2 linked regions of the Macaca mulatta genome follow. Each later gene encodes a partner of the first gene's protein in a complex. Links are inferred from orthologs where the notes say so. Each region holds a gene or a part of one and is shown on either strand. Other genes may lie near its edges.

Evidence for each region. The genes of interacting proteins can lie anywhere in the genome.
Region 2: HNRNPU (region 1) and YBX1 share a complex: the UniProt entries of both Homo sapiens proteins name them as parts of the coding region determinant (CRD)-mediated complex. The link is inferred for Macaca mulatta from reciprocal best matches to the Homo sapiens genes HNRNPU and YBX1.

What each region holds. Positions count from the first base shown.
Region 1 is NC_133406.1:4,245,849-4,250,730, forward strand, and holds the start of HNRNPU (heterogeneous nuclear ribonucleoprotein U), read left to right. Parts: upstream 1-1,785; 5' UTR 1,786-2,023; coding exon 2,024-2,714; intron 2,715-3,609; coding exon 3,610-3,721; intron 3,722-3,808; coding exon 3,809-3,882; intron 3,883-4,882. UniProt on the Homo sapiens protein: DNA- and RNA-binding protein involved in several cellular processes such as nuclear chromatin organization, telomere-length regulation, transcription, mRNA alternative splicing and stability, Xist-mediated transcriptional silencing and mitotic cell progression.
Region 2 is NC_133406.1:198,075,547-198,080,428, reverse strand, and holds the start of YBX1 (Y-box-binding protein 1), read left to right. Parts: upstream 1-1,550; 5' UTR 1,551-1,689; coding exon 1,690-1,855; intron 1,856-1,990; exon of another isoform or gene 1,991-2,489; intron 2,490-2,526; coding exon 2,527-2,590; intron 2,591-4,882. UniProt on the Homo sapiens protein: DNA- and RNA-binding protein involved in various processes, such as translational repression, RNA stabilization, mRNA splicing, DNA repair and transcription regulation.

The DNA of each region.
Region 1 (4,882 bases):
AGTATACGTAGATATGCAAACTTTGTTTTCGTAGTTTAGTGTTTTCCAGTAAACGAAATTTGTTTTCATATCACTAATATTTAAAAGTGTAAATAATATCTAGGACACATAAATTTAAAGAACCATCATAATTGTATTTAACTCTGATTCATTAAGGGATTAATTACCTAGTTTGTGAACGTGTAAGCCCCCTGTAGCTCTCTTCCCATTTTTGAACAAAAATAAAGAAGTTTCAAATTCAAGTTGGTGGCATATTTATAACCTTCAAAGACATTATAACCAAAGGCTAAAATGAGATTCTGGCACTGTTTGGAAGTTTCTATTTTGGGGGCTCGCCTCACCACTTAACTTGAACTGGGGATTATCAGTAGTACCGTACATAGTCCATTAATTTCAAGTCAAATCATTTCACAAATGTTAATATTTCACGTATACATGGCTGCAAGGTATGACAGAATGCTTCATAAAAGCCATTGAAAATAAACTTCAAAAGTAAAATGCATCAATCAGTTAAATCCCATTAGCCTATGGGAGAAATTTCAATATGTATACCTCCAAATTTCAAATTAATAATGGGGCAATATTATTGTGCCACCTAGAGTACCAAACAGTGGGTATAAACCATCTCCTTAGTCAGATGGAACACTGGCTGGACACTGCAGATTATCTGGGGTTTAAGACGTTAACTTCTATCACGAATCTAAATTCTGACTTCCCTGTCTAAAACTTCGGGAACATCACATCTTTTATTTAAAGCGAAAAAGTAAACTTCTAACATACAAAATAACGGATTTCTTTTCAAGAGCGATAGTCCTTTTTTTTTTTTTTTTTTTTTTAACAAAATCACTGCCCTTGATTTTTCATGAACTTTAAGTTTCAGAATGATTTGGTCAAGAGTATTTCTACAGGAATAGGAAGAGAATCAAGTGGGCCTATAATCAAAGACCTAGCTGGGTCTCACCCTCATGGTTAACTACTGAGACTTCATAGCCGATGACCAGGTCCTAAAGTGGACAGAACAAGCCTTACTGGAGGTCCGTCTTTGTGGTAGGTACAGAAAACTTGGAAATGCAATTCTGTGGTTTATTTAGGGTTATTAAGAGCATGAGAATAGCCCTGCAAAGGCTGGTAAACTAGGGTTTGCAGTATGGAGTAGTAAGCAAAGCCTCTACTTCCCAGGCCCTGCACCCGGGGTGTGGAACAGACAAAAGAACGGCTCTGCCCTTGCCCTTCTCGAACTTAAAATCCAATTCGCAAAGCAGGACTTACACATATTAAATCAAATACAGCATTATGCTGAAAAGAGCCCCTGCGTGTAACAGTTGCCAATGTGTGTTATACCAGTCAAAACGATTTGAAGGAGTTTTAAACGGAAAGCTGGAGAAACATACAAGAAGGCAGATCTAAGATGGAAGAAAAGGCGGATTCGGGTTGAAATGCCAAGTTGAGGACTGAAGAAAGCATTTGGACAAAGCAGCCTCCAGGCTGGGAAGGCGAAAAGCCAAACGAGTATAGCCACCAAAGACCCAGAAAGGCCAATAGATTGTGCAGTGAGTCGGTTTAACTGAAAGGCGGTTTCCTTTTCCTCCATTTGCTCAGTCCCAATTGGAAGCGCACTGCGCGGCCTGCGCCGCGCTCTCAGCCCGGGTTCGGCGTGGGGGCGGGGAGGTAAGTACGGTAATGGGCGGGGCCGAGCGCGGGCGCGCTCCGGCTTTCCTCCTGCGCAGCGCTCCCGTCAGCGCAGGGGGCGGGGCGCCTATATTACGTGCGCGGCGCCGCCCCTGCGAGAGGACGTTGCGTGCTCGCTCGCGCCAGGCGAGTCTCCGCGTCTCCCTCGCGAACTCGGTGAAAGGAATTGGCGCCGTTCGACACCAGGCGGATCCGCTCTGCAGCACGACCCCATCTCCAGCCGCAGCCGCAGCCGCCGCCCGGGCCGAGGAGCAGCCGCAGCAGCCGCCACCAGTGGCCGAGTGAGCGGAGCCGAGTTTGAGGCAGCGCCTAGCGGTGAATCGGGGCCCTCACCATGAGTTCCTCGCCTGTTAATGTAAAAAAGCTGAAGGTGTCGGAGCTGAAAGAGGAGCTCAAGAAGCGACGCCTTTCTGACAAGGGTCTCAAGGCCGAGCTCATGGAGCGACTCCAGGCCGCGCTGGACGACGAGGAGGCCGGGGGCCGCCCCGCCATGGAGCCCGGGAACGGCAGCCTAGACCTGGGCGGGGATTCCGCCGGGCGCTCGGGAGCAGGCCTCGAGCAGGAGGCCGCGGTCGGCGGCGATGAAGAGGAGGAGGAAGAGGAAGAGGAGGAGGAAGGAATCTCCGCCCTGGACGGCGACCAGATGGAGCTAGGAGAGGAGAACGGGGCCGCGGGGGCGGCCGACTCGGGCCCGATGGAGGAGGAGGAGGCCGCCTCGGAAGACGAGAACGGCGACGATCAGGGTTTCCAGGAAGGGGAAGATGAGCTCGGGGACGAAGAGGAAGGCGCGGGCGACGAGAACGGGCACGGGGAGCAGCAGCCTCAACCGCCGGCGACGCAGCAGCAACAGACCCAACAGCAGCGCGGGGCCGCCAAGGAGGCCGCGGGGAAGAGCAGCGGCCCCACCTCGCTGTTCGCGGTGACGGTGGCGCCGCCCGGGGCGAGGCAGGGCCAGCAGCAGGCGGGAGGTAAGAAGAAGGCGGAAGGCGGCGGAGGCGGCGGTCGCCCCGGGGCTCCGGCGGCGGGTGAGTGCTGCGTTGTACGTTGCGCGCGGCGGGAGGCCCGCGCGGGGTGGGGACCGTGCCCCAGGCCTGCCGGAGCCCCGCAGGGGGAGGGAGCCCCGGGCGGGCGGGGGGCCGCGGGGAGGGTGGCGGGTGGGGGAGGGGGCGCGGGGAATCCCAGATTAGCCGAGAGGCCTCGGGCTCGGGGCGTGTGTGCGTGTGTTCGTGTGTGTGTGTGTGTGTGTGTGTGACGGCGGTGGCAGCGCCTCCATTATGTGGCTCGAGAGCCGGGGGGAGCTGCAGCTGCCGCTGGAGGGGGAGGAGCCGCGGGCGGGCGGCGGGAGGGAGCCCGGTCGGCCCGCGGTGGCGCCGTCGCGCTGCGTGCGCGCGGTGCGGGCACATGTCTCGGGGGGAGGGGAGAGGCCCCAGGTCCCGGGGCGGGCGCGCTTTGGCGGCTCCTCGCCGCTGTATTGTGCAAGGAGCGCAGGGGCTCGGCGTGACGTCACTTCCTGCGGGAGGAGCCGGGCGGGGCGGGGCGGGGGGCGGAAGATCAGTACAATGCGGCCGCGGGGAGCGCGGGCCCGCGGGGGAGGGGAGCGCCGCCGCGCCGGGCTCGGCCCCTCCCCCTCCTGCGCCCTGGTCGCGATACACGTGGGCTTCGGGCCTGGGCCGCGCAGTTTTTCTTTGGGTTTCTCGAATCATCGAGGAGACTGGCAAAATTCGTAACGTCTTTAGACTGCGTCACTAGCGCTAATCCAATTCGTAGCTGATTGTTCTTCGAATTCACATTTGAGTCCTCGGTTAAAACCTCGGTTAAAAAGCAGGATAAAGTCGAGCTGCTTTGCTTCTCGGAACGGAAAAGCGTTTTTTTGTTGTTGTTTAGCGGCTTGGCCTCTTATGGGGGTCTTGTGTGTTTTAGGGGACGGCAAAACAGAACAGAAAGGCGGAGATAAAAAGAGGGGTGTTAAAAGACCACGAGAAGATCATGGCCGTGGATATTTTGAGTACATTGAAGAGAACAAGTATAGCAGGTATAGGATGCTCACCTAGTTTTACTTGTCATCCCTTATTCGTTCGTTGATCGGAAAGCTGTATCAGGAGACAATTCTGTCTTTCAGAGCCAAATCTCCTCAGCCACCGGTTGAAGAAGAAGATGAACACTTCGATGACACAGTGGTTTGTCTTGATACTTGTAAGTGAAGCTGTTTCTCCCCAATTATGAAATGCGGTGATGGTTTTTTTTTTTTTTTTGCTTCCAAAATGTTAGAAAACTTAATGCTTAAGTGCAGCAAAAGTTGGGTTAGGTTTTTTTAAAAGCAGGAAGAGATAATGGTTTATATTCAGAACCTAGTAGTTTAATATTTAGCACGGCATCAGTTGTATCAAATGGATTATTTTACAGGCTCTAGGAGTTTCATATTTTTATGACTTGAAAGTTCTCGTTCTTAGGAAATGTAAAATTAATGCCAGTTTCTGACTAGCTAACGGAAACTTGTAACACTACCTATAATTTAGCCTTACAGGCTTCTACAATAAAGTAATTCATTTTTTTGTGGAATTATATTAAGTGAGCTATTTGGGCTAGTTAAATATTTACTAATGACTTCTCCCATTAGCACACAAGTATATTCCCTATTCTAAAAGATTGTAATATTATTTTTTCAATAACTGCTCTTTTGTTCTCAATTCCAGTTCAGTAGCTGCTGCTTTAAACATAAGTTGATTTCTTCCAAAGACCTGAGGCAGCAGCAGTGGGCTATCACTGGGCCACTAGCTTTCTTCAGCAGCGAATGGTATCAATGGCAGTGCAGCACTGTAAATACTGCTACTTCACCCAGTTGGGTTGCAATTGAGTATGAGAAAGTATTGCAAACCTCTAAGTGGGCTTTGACTGTCAGACTTGCATTTTTTTTGTTGTTGTTATAAAAAAAAGTAGTTGGTTTAGTGACCAGAATTCACAACTCTGGGTGTGATAAATAGACCAAAGAATAGAAATACCTGTTTGAAAGTATCAGCTGTGGTGTCAGCCTGCTCTGTTAGATGGAGGGCATTGAAGCTTAGCTTCTCATGTTTTCTTGTACAATTTGGTTTTATTCAGATTTGTAAGAGTGTAAATGTAAAACTCTTTCTTACTGGAATGTCCTTTACAGAAGGTTGAGATAGTCATCTGAGCCTTTTTAAAGTAAAAAACT
Region 2 (4,882 bases), about 190 Mb from region 1:
CTCACAGAAAAAGTTCCTACCCCTTGCTCTAAGCAATTGGCGATGATGGCCTACAGTAGTGGCAGTAGGAATGAAGACTCTGAATTGACATTTAGAGAGTTTAGGACTGACTCAAGAAGGCCTTTAGGAGGTGGAACTGACAGGCCTAGACGGCATTGGTAGGGGTAAGGGATACTGCACTAGCCTCCTAACTGCTTTCTCTACTTCCATTCCTTGCCCCTCTGCAACCCATTCTCCACTCCGCAGCCATTTTTAAAAAGATGCCCCTCCCTACTTACGACTCTAAAATTGCTCTTCTCACTCTTCCCCTCAGGATATATTTCCAATTCAATACACCTAAGTGACTCTGCCCACCTCTGCAACCCAATGTCACATTCGAGTCTTACTGAACTACTTGACTGCATTTCCCGAGATCCCACCTCTTCTCGCCTGTACCCTGTGCGCAGAAAGTCAGCCCTCCACCTTCTCCCTGCTTCTACTCCCAAAATACTTCGTGCTTCTGCAGCTCTGGAGTATTTACCGTGTTGGCTGTTTAAATTTCTGCCTCCATCAGAAGGCAGAAACTGACTCGCGAACTATTCCATCCCCAGCCGATAGTAGACGCTTAAAAAAGAACGAAAGAAGGTGGGTGGAGGACTTCAGTAACATCAGGTGGCAGCCTCAATTTTATCGTTTGTGAAACGTGGATAGTAATTCCTCTATCACATGGCTGTTGTACGAATTAAATGAAAAAAAACATAGGACGCTAGCTTGTTCAATAAATGTGAGTTGAATTAAATCTGATTTGTGGCCAGTAGAAAAACACGTTAACACTTGAAAAGGAAGACACATTTTTAAAAATATATGCCTGGTAAAACGGATCAGAAGGCAGGTCCCCATGGAGCACACCCTCGCCCTAAACATGCTGAGCCCGGGCTGCCAGAGCCTGCGTGGTCCCTCCAAGGTGACTGCTCCGACAAAAGCGTACGCTCTTCAAACGCATACGTTTAAGGCAATTCCAGAAACCCTCGGCTGTGCCGCGAGTACACGGCCATTAAAGAAAAGACGACTCTATGCCCGCCGTAATGTTCTCAGATCACAGGGACCGTATTTGGTGCAGGGAGGGAGGGAAGCCTTTTCTTCACGGGGAGCTAAGGCGTCGTCGAGCCCCCTTCCAATCCCGGGTCCGGCCGGGTAATCCCTGCCCAGCGTTCGGGCGTGCCTTTTTTTCAGCCGAGACACAACCCTGAACGTCGGGCCCGCCAGCCCGTCGACTGCCTCGTGGAAGTCACGTTCCCTCTGCCCGTCCTCTCAGGTACTCTATGGTTTTCGTGGCCGACTACTCTAATTCTAGTTCCGGTCTCTATGGCGGCCGGCGGAGGCAGGAACGGTTGTAGGTCGGCTGAATTAGCCGCCAGACAGCCAATGAGAGTGGAGGACTGATAAAATGTTAGTCAATAGAAGCCAGGGACTGAGGTCAGGTGGGCAGATTGACAGTACCACCGGCCAGTGAACAACGCCTAGGGCGGGTCGATCGTAGGGCTTATCCCGCCTGTCCCGCCATTCTCGCTAGTTCGATCGGTAGCGGGAGCGGAGAGCGGACCCCAGAGAGCCCTGAGCAGCCCCACCGCCGCCGCCGGCCTAGTTACCATCACACCCCGGGAGGAGCCGCAGCTGCCGCAGCCGGCCCCAGTCACCATCACCGCAACCATGAGCAGCGAGGCCGAGACCCAGCAGCCGCCCGCCGCCCCCCCCGCCGCCCCCGCCCTCAGCGCCGCCGACACCAAGCCCGGCACTACGGGCAGCGGCGCAGGGAGCGGTGGCCCGGGCGGCCTCACATCGGCGGCGCCTGCCGGCGGGGACAAGAAGGTCATCGGTGAGGACCGGACAGGGACGGGGGTGGGGCCCTCGGGCAGCCTGGCAGCGGAACCGTTAGCCGGGGCTGGGCGAGCCGGCGGGCGCGCGGCCGGTGGGGACCGACTCCGCGGCGCGCGGCCGCCCCTCCCCCCGCCCCCCCACTCGCTCTTGCGGGGGCCCGCCCGGCAGGCGCGCGCACACTGCCTCCCGCGCCCCCTGTGGACCCCGCGCGGCCGCGCGCCCCTCCTCCTGCGGCCGCGCGCCGCCGACCGCGTGTGCGACGGGGTCCCCTCCCCGCCGACTGGCCTCGTGCGCTCGGGCCCGCACGCCGTTGTTCGCGTCTCCCCCACCCAGCTCCCTTCCGCGTGTGCTCGGAGAGCGCGGCGCACCGCCTACGCAGTCCGGAGCGGCTTCCCCTTCCCTCACGTGCTCTCCGTCCGCGGCCTGCGAACACACCCATCCTGGGCCCGCGCCCCGGGCCTGCCCGGGAGCGCCCCGCGCTTCAGACTCACCCACGTGTGCGGCGGCGGCGGCGTGGCCCCGGCGCGGACCCGCACCCAGGCGGTGGAGAGAAAGGGCTGTCAGGTGGCCGCGGCGGGCAGCGTGCGAGGGACCGGATGCCGAAGCGAGACGGGTTTGGAAAAGGATAGCTGGTAATCGTGGCTTGTTTTGCTTTGTTTTCTTTTCCAGCAACGAAGGTTTTGGGAACAGTAAAATGGTTCAATGTAAGGAACGGATATGGTTTCATCAACAGGTGAGCTGCTGGGCTCTGAAGCCTCCATCCTACCTTCTTGCTTGCTTCTTGCTGTGCCAATCCACAGTCCTCTTCTGAAAGGCGTTTACTACCTCTGGTGTATTAATGTGATTTTTTGTCTGTTTGTTTTCCTTGACGACTGGAGGGATTTGGGTTTAGAGAATGCCTTTGTTTTGCAGCTAAATATTAATTTGAAGCTAACTTCAAGGGCTTCGTCACAGCACAAAGCAATTTAAAAGGCAAGCGGAGTGAATGAGCCATTCCTTAACAGGGTAAACGGGAAAGTACGGTCCAGTAGATTTTTATTCTTGTCATCCTTTTCTACTTTATTGAACTCGGTATTTGAGAATGTGATCCACTGACATCGGATATTTACGCCTTGTTAACATTTTGGGGGTAAGAGGATTTGACGTGTCAAGTATATGAGGTTTTGTCATCTTTACCGAGAGGTTGTATTGCCTTTGTTTCACGTTTCATTTTAATACCTGAGATAAATTCTGTATTAGCACAGCTTTGACCAGAGAGAACTGTTTTTATTTGTTCATAAATAATATATCTGCAAGAAAATGGTTTTTTTCCTTCAGTTCTTATTTCATTCTTCCTTGTCCTAAAATCATGCTGATGAAGTCAATTTCCGCTAGATCCCTGGCTGTAGCTTATTAGAGTGGCCATAGTCACTAGTAACTTGACATTGTTCTTCCTGTTTGAAGGTAAAGCTGCAGATACGTCTTTAGGACTTACCCTTCGGGTTGTTTGTGGCAGTGGTGGTGGTAACGTGCAGTAGACGCACAGTATTCCATGGGCTTCCTTGTGAGCCGGGCATCATTTTCAAGATGGCTGCCAAGGCTAGTAGTGCAGTTACATGGGTGTAGAGCACTGGGTATGCCAGTAGCAATCTTGGCCTCACAGGTATGGTACTTAAGTGCCATCTCAGCATTCTCTTGCTTACTTACTGTAGAAGACCTAAGCAGATGATTAAAAGAACAACGTGGAATGGACAACAAATGGGCAAAATCAAGCTTAAGGACAGATTCATGGCCTGATGAAAAACTGTTCATTAATCAATCATAGAGTATTGTGGAAATACTTAAAGTAAGAGATAAGCATTTGATGATCTATTCTCTACTTTTGCAATTGTGGGAAAACATTTTGTTTCTTCCAGAATCTTAGGATTTTCCAACTTGTTCTATACTGTTTGCCTTCCTGGCTGGCTGAAACTACGGTTTTCATTAATTTTTTGATAAAAGCTTACTAGCAAAGAAGAAAGGGAATGCTTATATATGATTGGTAAACTGATAGCTTTTTAACTGATCTGTCTGAATTTGTTAGTGTTTTAGTTTGTATTTGTGTCTTACTGACTGTCCTTACTAGTCTAACTCTTAAACCAGTGGTTTTCAAATTTAAGTGTGCTTACCTTGGAAGGGTGTGATTTAAGTGGTGTATTTCTTCTGAGCTTTGGATTCATTAGGTCTGGGTACATTTTTAACAGGAATGATAATGGTCTTCGGGCCATACCTTCAAAATCACTGCTTTTAACCCTTGACCCAATGTAATGGTAACTCTGGTGTGCAAATATGCATCCTTTTCAGCAGATAGATCGCAGTTTTTGTATGTGTTTAAGAAGTTTTAGCATGTGCCTTGTTTCGCTGCATTTTTTTTTAAAGTGGGCATAGGTTATGACATTTTTTGAAATCAATAGTTTTGTCCAAAATAAGAGTATTATCTTTACACTTTATAAGTATTTAGTCCATGAGATACTATTCATTGAATATCTCTGTTCTGAATTGGAATCAACTCAGTTGGTCATCCTCCAGGGCAAGTTATGAATTGGCTTTTGATGGTCCTTTGGACTATCCTAACCTCGATTATTTTGTCAGATTAACTGGTTAAAATATTCTTTATGCTTCTGAACTGGTTGTTTTAATTATTCTGGGATTTTTTAATAAGATGCTGTAAACTCTGACTCCAATTAAATACAGGGAAGATTTGCTTTAATTAAGGAAAATGTATGTGTTAAATCAGTTTGGAAGCTAGCAGTTGGTTCTATATGTAGTTCCTGTAGTAGAACGAATGGACTTGGCTGGAGGCACCTGGCTCTTATGAGGGAGGCAGACTGACTGACACATAACGTGCTGTTTTCTGTATAAAGGAGAGAGTGCAGTGTTTGGGATGACTATTATGACGACTTTTAATTGCTGTTTTTGGATACGCTGGATTATATATTCCAGGATTGTACGGTATTTTTATAATTACAACATTGTATGTAAATTTTCTGCCTTTAAAGACGCAATT